Xenopus tropicalis: one gene and its partner. The protein of the gene in region 2 purifies or fractionates together with the protein of the main gene of each other region. This does not show direct contact. Links are inferred from orthologs where the notes say so. Each region holds a gene or a part of one and is shown on either strand. Other genes may lie near its edges.

Region 1 (6,036 bases), on a different chromosome or scaffold from region 2:
GGGGGGGGGGAAGATAAATGTTGGCACTTAAAAATAAAAACAAAAAAAAAAAAGTGTGGGGGGTTAATGAAGCTTTCTAGCAATCTCAGGAAGAAGGGAATCAGGCTTTATATTTACACTGCTACATTACTGGGGCTTCTTCCCATTAAGCCAAATATTTCCTGGCAGTGAGTTGGGCAATGCCCCCCCGGGGGTAAATACCCAATAGAGACAGTTCAGCTCGGTGAGTGGATCATGGCTCTCCACCAATGACGTGAGCCCAATAAAGATCCTCAGGGGACCTAAAAGTCTTTTGCCCCGGGCGTAACATGGAGATCCGTGCCGCCAGTCCGTGGGATACGGGAAAGCCCGCTGGGCCGAAGCGCTAGGTGAAATAGTGCGGCTTCTTTACGTTGATGCCATATTCCGCCAGCGCCGGAGTCAGGTCTTCCATAGTGAGAGTGTATTTCTTATCCTGCCCAAAGAGAAATCACATGACTGCCTTGTGCCTCTAGAGAGGGAGAATCTCCGGCGCTGACCCAGACAGTACCAAGTATGTGCCTTGGCACCGACACAGGACTAGAGCAGGAGGGCATCATCTCGGGGTTACTGGGGTCTCTCTACCCCCACCCCCAAAATCATTATCCAATCGGCTCCCTACATACTTACCCCCCAGCCCTGACTATGGAGCAGCAATGTGAGGGCACATTCATTTCTATTGGGTGCAGCCCATACCTAGATGTGTATAGGAGATCTAGGAGCTCTCTCACTGGCTGCTTGTAACATTGGGCGGAACAAAGGGGCACCTTGGGCACAATAGCCCCACTGAAGGGCATTTGCTGGCGGGGTACCTTGCTTTTGCTGCGAGAGCTCCCGGAGGCCGTCCCCTTCATCTTACAGTGCTGCAAGGCGTCATTTGCAATGTCAGAGATGAACTTCTGAGATGCCAAGGAGATCAGCCGGATTCTAGGAGAGACAAGCGGTGGGGTCAGCGGATCACTACAGAGATCGAGAGGATCCGGTGTGAAATTCAAAATAAGCGAAGTCAATACAGATGCTGTGCTGAACTCATAGTAATCACCATACAGGCCTGATTGGATAACTGCAGTAAGACTAATGAAAGCAACTCTGATTGGTTGCTAGGGTTAAAGGAAAAGTAACACTAAACATTTTTAACTAAAAAAATCTATTCTACCCTCCCCCAATAATTGCCCTATCCTGAAATCCATTTGTTATTGTGAATGCATCAACTATGCGGTGATCGACTGATCTAGCCCCTGACTTCTGTATATAGGAATGAGTCAGGCTAGGCTCGATCAGTCGATCACCGCATAGTTGATGCATTCACAATAACAAATGGATTTCAGGATAGGGCAATTATTGGGGGAGGGCAGAATAGATTTTTTAGTTAAAAATGTTTAGTGTTACTTTTCCTTTAAGGGCCGATTCGGGTCCTTCAGACCAATTCAGCAGCTTATCTGCCCGTGTATGGGCACCCCCCGACGGGCCTACCCAACCGATATCTGCCATTGCGATGGTTTGGCCCTAGCCCGGTATTGCCCACTGTAGGTGGAGAAGATCCGCTCATTTGGCAATCTCACCAAACGAGTCTCCACCAATTACATTACAGTTCCTAGAAAGCAAGATAAACAATAATAAAGAGGGATAATACATATAACGGAATGGCAGCACCAGAACGGGCACTTTAACCCCTATTTAGGCCTCCAGTTGCTGTGGCCATAAGCGTGACTGTCAGCTCTCCTGGTAGGCACAGAGCAAACGGCTACTGGCCACGGCGGCCCATAACCTAGCGCTACAGGCTGGCCAGAATAAGGGAAGGTTCTTCCTAGTCGAGGCAACTGCTACAGGGCTCTGAGAAGCTCCGGTACCCACGGGCCAATAACGTATGGCAGCAGGAGTTGTACTTACATGCGTGGGTCGGATGCTTCAAACCCGGCCCGGTTCAGGTAATATCCAGTGACGGCATCTGGGATCTGCAGGAAATCGGGAGAAGGAATGTAAAGCAAATGTTGGAACAGATACAAGCAATGATACAGGGAAACAATATGGCAGCTCCCACCAACAGATATACATACATACAGAGAAATGATGTTCTGTAGGCACAAGCTGCACCCTGACACTGTGTAAGGTGGGGCAAATGCCTGGCACTGCCCCCCCCCAGTACCCTAGGGCACAGCATTTCCCATACAGACCCAAGGGACACTTACCGTAGGGGTATAGTCCTCCAGCTGCATCAGGAAATCCACCAGGGGGGTAGTGGAAATGACAGGTTTGACATCGCCATTTGCCACCCCCGGGGGCAGGTACACGCCATTAGAGAGGGATCCCTCGGAGGGGGCAGCAGCCGCTGATGCAGGGACTGGAGGATCAATAACAGAACATACATTGGAATTGGAAAGGACTGGGCAATAGTCACACAGCCGGGCACTTACCTGCGCCCAATTCTCCAAATACCCCCCCACCCTATCTGTCCCCAAACTGTACTCCCCATTGTACAACCCAGTGGGCACCATTTGCCCCGAAACAGGTCCATTCACCCAGCTCCTTCCATACGTTCCCCTTCTCACCCCCGGCACCACTCCTACCCCCTGCCCTAGCAAAGGGCAATTCTCAGCTATGACAGCCCCCTCCTCTCTAGCTGCCCCCCGGGACCCCTTTCATCTCCAGCTGCCCCCCGGGGCCCCCCTCTCATCTCCAGCTGCCCCCCGGGGCCCCCCTCTCATCTCCAGCTGCCCCCCGGGGCCCCCCTCTCATCTCCAGCTGCCCCCCGGGGCCCCTCTCATCTCCAGCTGCCCCCCCGGCCCCTCTCATCTCCAGCTGCCCCCCGGGGCCCCCTCTCATCTCCAGCTGCCCCCCCCCGGGCCCCTCTTTGCTCCAGCTGCCCCCCCCGGGCCCCTCTCATCTCCAGCTGCCCCCCCGGCCCCTCTCTGCTCCAGCTGCCCCCCGGGGCCCCCTCTCATCTCCAGCTGCCCCCCCCGGTGCCCCTCTCTGCTCCAGCTGCCCCCCCCGGGGCCCCTCTCTGCTCCAGCTGCCCCCCCGGGCCCCTCTCTGCTCCAGCTGCCCCCCCGGCCCCTCTCTGCTCCAGCTGCCCCCCCCGGGCCCCTCTCTGCTCCAGCTGCCCCCCCGGCCCCTCTCTGCTCCAGCTGCCCCCCCCGGCCCCTCTCTGCTCCAGCTGCCCCCCCCGGGCCCCTCTCTGCTCCAGCTGCCCCCCCGGGCCCCTCTCTGCTCCAGCTGCCCCCCCGGCCCCTCTCTGCTCCAGCTGCCCCCCCCGGGCCCCTCTCTGCTCCAGCTGCCCCCCCGGCTCTCCCTTTCCCCTCCATGCTTGGGTTTCTCTCCCCAGGCCTTTCCTGGAGTCCCAGTCCCCTGTGAGTACCCCCCCCTCCCTCTCCGGTTCAGTTGCTGCCGCTCACCGCTGGCTCTTCGCTCCCCCGTGTCCCTCCCGGGTAGAGCAGCTGCAGAGGCCGCGGCAGGCCCGGGTTTGGGAATGTTTGCCGGGCTGGGCTTACTCTCTGGGGCCGGACCGGGCTGGACTGAGGCAATAGCAGATAGAGAGTCTGGCGCTGTCTCCGTCCCGCTCATCTTCACCCTTGGACAGGAACTTCCGTCAACACCCGGAAACAGCTCCTCCACTTAATCTCCTCCCCAAAACAACGGGCAGTGCCTTTACGCCATCTTCCTGCAAGGCGTGTCCCAGCGCCCCCTACCGGCCAATGCGGCAGCTACACAGCTCAGGAGAAACATAACCTTACGTAGAAAGCCCATTGGCTACCTGCCAGGGCGCGGCCATTTACTGGCTTAAAATGTTGCCAATCAAAGCGGTGATAGCAAAGCTGCGTTAGGATTTGAACAAAGCCAGACTGTGATTGGATGTCGCTTGGTTACGTGCTGAGGCACGCTAGAGTGCCGCCATGTTGCTACACACGGAAATGAGCTTAGCGAAGTGCATGGGAGTCAGACTGACAGTGAGGCGCGACACCAACTCCTTCTTCTGAGCGTGAAAAGCGCCACAGGCAACCAAACCGGGGCTGTTAGGAGCCGGCGGGCTGGACTTTACCCTGGGGCAGGGGCTGCTTGAGGCCAGTATTTGGGTGTAGCAATATGGCGGAGTTCGCAGACCGAAAACGGACTGGGAAACCACAAGAGTGAAAACCGGATCCAAATTGCTCCGACATTGATTCACTGAGCAAGTGGGTGAGTGTCCGCCTCCCGGGAGCTGGGACTTTCTTTTTATTGATCCACCCCCCCCCCCCCCGCCTCCACTCAGGCAGCCATTATGGGGGTCTCTTTACACTCACTGTCAGTAACTAACCCACTCACTGTCAGTAACTAACCCACTCACTGTCAGTAACTAACCCACTCACTGTCAGTAACTAACCCACTCACTGTCAGTAACTAACCCACTCACTGTCAGTAACTAACCCACTCACTGTCAGTAACTAACCCACTCACTGTCAGTAACTAACCCACTCGCCGTCAGTAACTAACCCACTCACTGTCAGTAACTAACCCACTCACTGTCAGTAACTAATACACTCGCCGTCAGTAACTAACCCACTCACTGTCAGTAACTAACCCACTCACTGTCAGTAACTAACCCACTCACTGTCAGTAACTAACCCACTCACTGTCAGTAACTAACCCACTCACTGTCAGTAACTAACCCACTCGCCGTCAGTAACTAACCCACTCACTGTCAGTAACTAACCCACTCACTGTCAGTAACTAATACACTCGCCGTCAGTAACTAATACACTCGCCGTCAGTAACTATACACTCGCCGTCAGTAACTAACACACTCGCCGTCAGTAACTAACACACTCGCCGTCAGTAACTATACACTCGCCGTCAGTAACTAACACACTCGCCGTCAGTAACTAATACACTCGCCGTCAGTAACTAATACACTCGCCGTCAGTAACTAATACACTCGCCGTCAGTAACTAACACACTCGCCGTCAGTAACTATAACACTCGCCGTCAGTAACTAACACACTCGCCGTCAGTAACTAACGACACTCGCCGTCAGTAACTATACACTCGCCGTCAGTAACTAACACACTCGCCGTCAGTAACTAATACACTCGCCGTCAGTAACTAATACACTCGCCGTCAGTAACTAACACACTCGCCGTCAGTAACTAAGACACTCGCCGTCAGTAACTAAGACACTCGCCGTCAGTAACTAACACACTCGCCGTGAGTAACTAATACACTCGCCGTCAGTAACTAACACTCGCCCTAACACTCGCCGTCAGTAACTAACACACTCGCCCTAACACACTCGCCGTCAGTAACTAACACACTCGCCGTCAGTAACTAACACACTCGCCGTCAGTAACTAACACACTCGCCGTCAGTAACTAACACACTCGCCCTAACACACTCGCCGTCAGTAACTAACACACTCGCCCTAACACACTCGCCGTCAGTAACTAACACACTCGCCGTCAGTAACTAACACACTCGCCGTCAGTAACTAACACACTCCTGTGCCCTGATGTATTGTGTGTAGGGGCAGTGGAGTAAGGGGTCTCTGCCCCCAGTGACATTTCTATATATACTCAGTGGGGGATCTACACTTACACCCCCCCCTTAGGGCTCTGGCACACGCGAGGCAACAAAGTTGCCTGCGCAGCGTGTGCCATCCCACTGGTGACTTACATTTTTGCCAGTGGGATGGCAGTTCGGGGAGATTAGTCACCTGTGATAAGGGAGATTTGTTTCGGGCGACTAATCTCCCTGTGTGCCAGAGCCCTTACCCCAAGGGATTCCTGACTGTGGCCCCATACAGGCACTGACTATACAGGTCCCAGAGCGGATCCCCCTGTCTGGTGCTCAGTCGTCTGCCCCCCCCCTGGCTCCCCCCGTTGCACCCCCTGTCTGCGCCCCCGTCTCCCCCCCTGCTTGCTCCCCCCCTGTCTGTCCCCTTCTCATCCCTCCCCTGTCTGCTCCCCCCCCTGTCTTGCTGCTCCCCCCTGTCTGCCTCCTGCACCGCCCCTTTCGTGTCTTGCTCCTCCCCCTGTTCTTGGCTGTTTC
Region 2 (5,358 bases):
TATTTATTTGTAAAAAATGTTTGGAATCATGTATGATTTTCGTTCCACTTCTCACGTGTACACCACTTTGTATTGGTCTTTCACGTGGAATTCCAATAAAATTGATTCATGTTTGTGGCTGTAATGTGACAAAATGTGGAAAAGTTCAAGGGGGCCGAATACTTTTGCAAGCCACTGTATATACTCTGTACTTTGCACTTCTGTTCAGCAGAGTCTACACAACCAGTATAGAGGAGCATGTATTGATACAAGGGCATTGGCCTGGCTACAATATCCTACCCATGTGGGTGCTTCTCATATTTTTATTCAGGTGTGGGCAATCCAAACACCAGCTTCTTGGCCCATGCCACCCTAAACGTGCATTCTGACAACTGCTGGGACAGATCTCTTGCTAAAGGCAATACAATTCTCACCATCATTGCAGAGACATGGGTGGGGGGAGGAGACGTGTGAATTAAGCAACTTTTCAAATAGTCATTACTTATTTTGTGTGGCGTTTGATTTATTGCCTAAGGGCTCTTACATGTGGGCAAGGCATGCTGAGCGCATAAAACGCATATTATATTTATATGCATTTTTTTTAAACACACCTAAGTGTGTCAGTTCCAAATGCAACCCTTCCTCAATTCTTGGCCCTAGGATTGAATTTGGGCTGAGGACTGCATCAGTAAGCCAACGCTGTCCCTGATCCAACAGGAAAATCAAACCTGCCTGCGATTTTCGGGCATATATCAATAAGGGAGGCCCATACATGGGAAGATAAGCTGTCGAAATGGTCTAAAGGACTTGAATTGGCTTCAATCTTCCATGTATGGCCACCTTTACAGTGCTACTGCTGACTAAAGCTGGGCATATAGCTGGGCATATGTGAGGTTGCCCAACCATTCTTACTCTGGGCCAAATTGAGATTACTGTTATGGTTGGCTCCCAGGCCAGATCAGATCATAATTTGAGCCAAGGAAAACCTGGGCTGCATCAACGTGGTCATTTAATTTTTGGCTGACATGATTATCAGGCAGGCATATATCTGGCCAAATGTCACAATACATGAGACAGTGAAGGCCTGAGTTTGCAGTTTTATTGGCTCAAGTATGGCTACCTTACATCCAGTGAGCTAAATGGCAAGAAGCAAGGACTACTGGCACAGACAACACAGAAATGCCACTTAGTGTCTCTGCCATTAGGGTTTTCCCTTCTAAGGGGGGAAACACAGGAAACCACAAGCAGGCTCTTTACCAGCACAGGCTTTTATTCCACACACAATTTACAGATGCATATTGGCATTGGCATTTTTTTTTTTTTTAAAGAATTTTTTTTCCCCTATATTAAGGAAGGAAAAGGACACGTTAGTGAAGACCCTGATATACAAATCATAACATCCATCACTTCCAAATCAGTTTATACAGTTCATAATGAGAGGTTGCAGGGCCAGCCCTGTTAGGGAGTAAAGTGACCAGAGGAAAGTGGGTGCCGCTCCGAAGGGCCCTATCTAGTACAACCTTTGATCTGATAGGAATTTTTTATGGTTTTTTTTTTTTTTTTTGGTCACTAGCCTTCTCAATGGGATTTGCCCAGACACCAACTCATTTGTTATAATACTGTGTCCAGGCCTGCTTGTCCCCATTAAACATTTACTAAAAGAACTAAGGGCACAGTTGATCGGTCACTTTGCTCCTACTAAGATTGACCCCCTTTTTTTTAAAAAAAAAAAAAAAAAAGAAAAAAAAGAAAAAGCTTTAAAACCATATTACTCTGGCCATGTAAAAAAAACAAAAACACAAAAACCCACATCAGGCATGTCCAATCCTAAAACCCCCAACACCTTTGACTGTTGAAGGATTCTGGGAATTTTAGTTCAACAACAGGTCCAGGTTGGACAACCCTGCAGTCCATGGTGCTTTCCCACAGTGTCTTTCCCCCCTAAAATAAATCACAGGCACATAATAAAAAAAAAAAAATGGAACTGGCAGCTGCCATAGTCTCCAGGATTCTAAATGGCAAGATCCACATCATGTCATCATTTTAGCATTTACCTCCCCCAAAACCCCCTCGCCTCATCCTGTAAGATTTAGTAAATCTGTGCCTGATGAAATACTGAGTATAATTTCATTAAACGTGCAAGATCTATGAATCGATTTGCTGCCAGAGGTACTGCAGGCGGCCTGCACCCATATACTATGTAACAGAAATGATACCAGAAGCAGCACACATCATGCCTATGTTCATGTTACTGGGGGGGGGGGGGGGGGGAGGTGGTTCCTGCAACTTCTTGGTGGCTCGTGTCTCAGAGTCCCATTTCAGGAAGTTCACGCCTCGGTTCTGTTGGAAAGTTGTCTCCAGATGGCAAGATCCAATGTCAGTAGAGGAAGCAGCAGCAGGCACCCTCTTGACACAGTAGAAAGATCCAGGCTGACCTGAGGATTCCCATTAGATCATATATATATGTATGCATGTATACATATATGACAGTCACAACTGCTCTCCATACCTGGCACAGGCACTGCAAGTGGGACAGGAAGAGACAGTAAATACGGCAAAATTGGGTCCAGTATTTGTTTTGCGGAAAGGAATAAACCGCATTGGGCGAGGTATATTTTGGATCCTCTTTTTTTCTAACATAGTTCTTACCAGACCTGATAATATTCACATTCAAGGGTTTATTTATTTAGGGGTACACCTGGCATTACGCCCATTTGTCTCCATGGGATATATAAATATACCGAGAGAACAGTGCATGTATATTTGGGCACCCAGTCTGACTATGTATAGCACTCCTTGGTCCACTATGTTCAATTGAGTTCGCTGTACATTCCTGGTGTCAGAGGGGCAGGAGGTTTAGGTTTCTTCTTCTTGCTTGTGCCACCTCCACTTGCCAGGCTGACATGACTTGGCTTCTTTTTCTTAGGCTTGCGAGTGTCTGAGTTATTTGTACCTAGGCAGGGAGGAATACAGGAGGATAGGTAGGATAGTAAGGAAGAGGAAAAAGGGAAAAGCATATAGATGAGCGCAAGAGTAATACAAAAAATTCACAGTTGGAAAGCACAAGCAACCAACCAACAGGCACAAGAAGATGAGAGCGCATTCAAACAGAAACAGTGTGACATTGGCCTTATATTGCTCATTTACAACACTGACCACAAGAAGGGGATTGGGCAAACCTTGCTGCATCACAATTACCACATATCCTCCCCCCTGCCTCTGGGTCTCTTACTGGCTTTAGAGGACGCAGAATCGGAAGGAGAAATGTCAGATGATCCATCCCACTGCAGCCGACTCATCAGTGCCTGTCCCTCCACCACATCGAAGCTGTCGTTATCCGTACTGCCGTCAGCCTCGGGGAGAGAGCTGGTAGGGAGGCAGGGGAGAGCACCATCTGTAATGCTTAGCCTTACAAACAGGTTGTGTGTCTTTTGCCCTGTGCAGTCCTATAGGTATAGGCTAGGAGCAAGCAGGCTCCAGTTTTATGAAGGTGAAAATGTCACAGTATGCGGTTGCTAAACAAATCAGCAAAACTGGAGAAGGATGAAGAACCCTCATTCAGTCCAGTCATAGTGATCCCAGTGGGGATTGTACTCTAGAACCGTCATAAAAAATCCCTATGTAACTGCAAAAGCTAGGAAAATGTCCCTGCCCAGTACAGTCCTAGAGGTACCAAGAAGGAAGGGAGACACTGCTACGCATCCTGTTGTCTGTGCTCCTATCAGATTTATGGAGTTATGTGGTCAGTTGGGCACTTACGCAGAGGAGCCCAGCAAATAGACTCTCACAGACCGGCGCTGGTCATCTGTGTGTTGGGGGCAACGATGCGATCTAAAGAGAAAACAGATACTGATGAGAAAAACAAACTGAGGAAATCAGTTTTGCCTTTGTGGTTCATGAGCAATAAGCAGAAGTCAGTGGCATAGGAACACCAGCACAGTATTACAATGACTGACCTGGTACACATCTTCTTAGTGTGCTCCGATATAACCCCGCATTGCTATGGAGAAATAAAAAGGGATGAATTAACAGCTTTCCCAGTGGGTGCCATACAACTGGATTGCATTATAATGTACAGCTCTACCACAGCACTCACAGGACTTTGAAAAATAACAATATTTTTAATACTGCAATAAAATTATATATTGCACTAACAAAAATATTGTGTTATTTCTCAAAGTCCTCTCTACCTTTTTTGTACTTCACCACTTGACCTGGCACCCAGGCAGTAGGATGTTTTTGGAGTGTGCCCTCTAGAATTTATTTTACGACTGGCACACCCTATAAAAAAATCACAGCTTTATTGCTAACACATTGCACAAAATTAGTCCAACGTTTCGATCCTTAACAGAACCTTTCAAAGCAAAGCTCTTCAGTACCTTTGAATACATATGCAAAACCCTCTCCCCCTCTCTTGCCCAATGGTTCCATGACATTTTCATGCACTTATTGAAAGGGACTGGATCTCTAGTATTTTGACTTATAGTTCAGTGACTGTAGGGTGCTTACCGTGGTTAGAAGTGTTTGAAGCTCATCTGGGCCGAGGTTCTCATAACTAATCCCTGAACTGCTATTATACTGAAAAGGGAAAGAAGCATTAGTATCAGTGCAGAAAGGAACATATATTTGTGCAAAGAACCATTATACCTTTATATTTTCTGCAAACTGTGCTGGCACAGATTTATAGTCTCTTTGCCAGGTCTGGACTGAGACCCAAGATACAGTGGATATAAAAAGTCTACACACCCCTGATAAAATGTCAGGTTCCTGTGCTGTACAAAAATGAGACAAAGATAAATCATTTCAGAACTTTTTCCACCTTTAATGTGACCTATAAACTCAATTGAAAAACAAACTGAAATCTTTAAGGTGGAGGGAAGAAAACCAAAAAAAACTAAAATAATGTGGTTGCATAAGTGTGCACACCCTCTTCTAACTGGGGATGTAGCTGTGTTCAGAATTAAGCAATCACATTCAAAATCATGTTAAGTAGGAGTCAGCATACACCTGCCATCATTTAAAGTGCCTATGATTAACCCCAAATAAAGTTCAGCTGCTCTAGTTGGTTTTTCCTGACATTTTTTTTAGTTGCATCCCACAGCAAAAGCCATGGTCCCCAGAGAGCTTCCAAAGCATCAGAGGGATCTCATTGTTAAAAGATATCAGTCAGGAGAAGGGTACAAAAGAATTTCCAAGGCATTAGATATACCATGGAACACAGTGAAGACAGTCATCATCAAGTGGAGAAAATATGGCACAACAGTGACATTACCAAGAACTGGACGTCCCTCCAAAATTGATGAAAAGACGAGAAGAAAACTGGTCAGGGAGGCTACCAAGAGGCCTACAGCAACATTAAAGGAGCTGCAGGAATATCTG

The links.
Region 1: the proteins of atxn7l3 (region 2) and taf10 purify together in Homo sapiens (affinity purification with mass spectrometry; 7 studies listed by BioGRID and IntAct, with this or other methods). This does not show direct contact. The link is inferred for Xenopus tropicalis from reciprocal best matches to the Homo sapiens genes ATXN7L3 and TAF10.

Annotation. Positions count from the first base shown.
Region 1 is NC_030678.2:177,469,585-177,475,620, forward strand, and holds the start of taf10 (transcription initiation factor TFIID subunit 10), read right to left. Parts: upstream 3,591-6,036; 5' UTR 3,580-3,590; coding exon 3,411-3,579; intron 2,360-3,410; coding exon 2,208-2,359; intron 1,974-2,207; coding exon 1,909-1,973; intron 979-1,908; coding exon of another isoform or gene 946-978; coding exon 831-945; intron 455-830; coding exon 365-454; 3' UTR 1-364. UniProt on the Homo sapiens protein: The TFIID basal transcription factor complex plays a major role in the initiation of RNA polymerase II (Pol II)-dependent transcription.
Region 2 is NC_030686.2:18,488,655-18,494,012, forward strand, and holds the end of atxn7l3 (ataxin-7-like protein 3), read right to left. Parts: intron 4,558-5,358; coding exon 4,489-4,557; intron 3,980-4,488; coding exon 3,936-3,979; intron 3,811-3,935; coding exon 3,739-3,810; intron 3,346-3,738; coding exon 3,212-3,345; intron 2,933-3,211; coding exon 2,790-2,932; 3' UTR 1,229-2,789; downstream 1-1,228. UniProt on the Homo sapiens protein: Component of the transcription regulatory histone acetylation (HAT) complex SAGA, a multiprotein complex that activates transcription by remodeling chromatin and mediating histone acetylation and deubiquitination.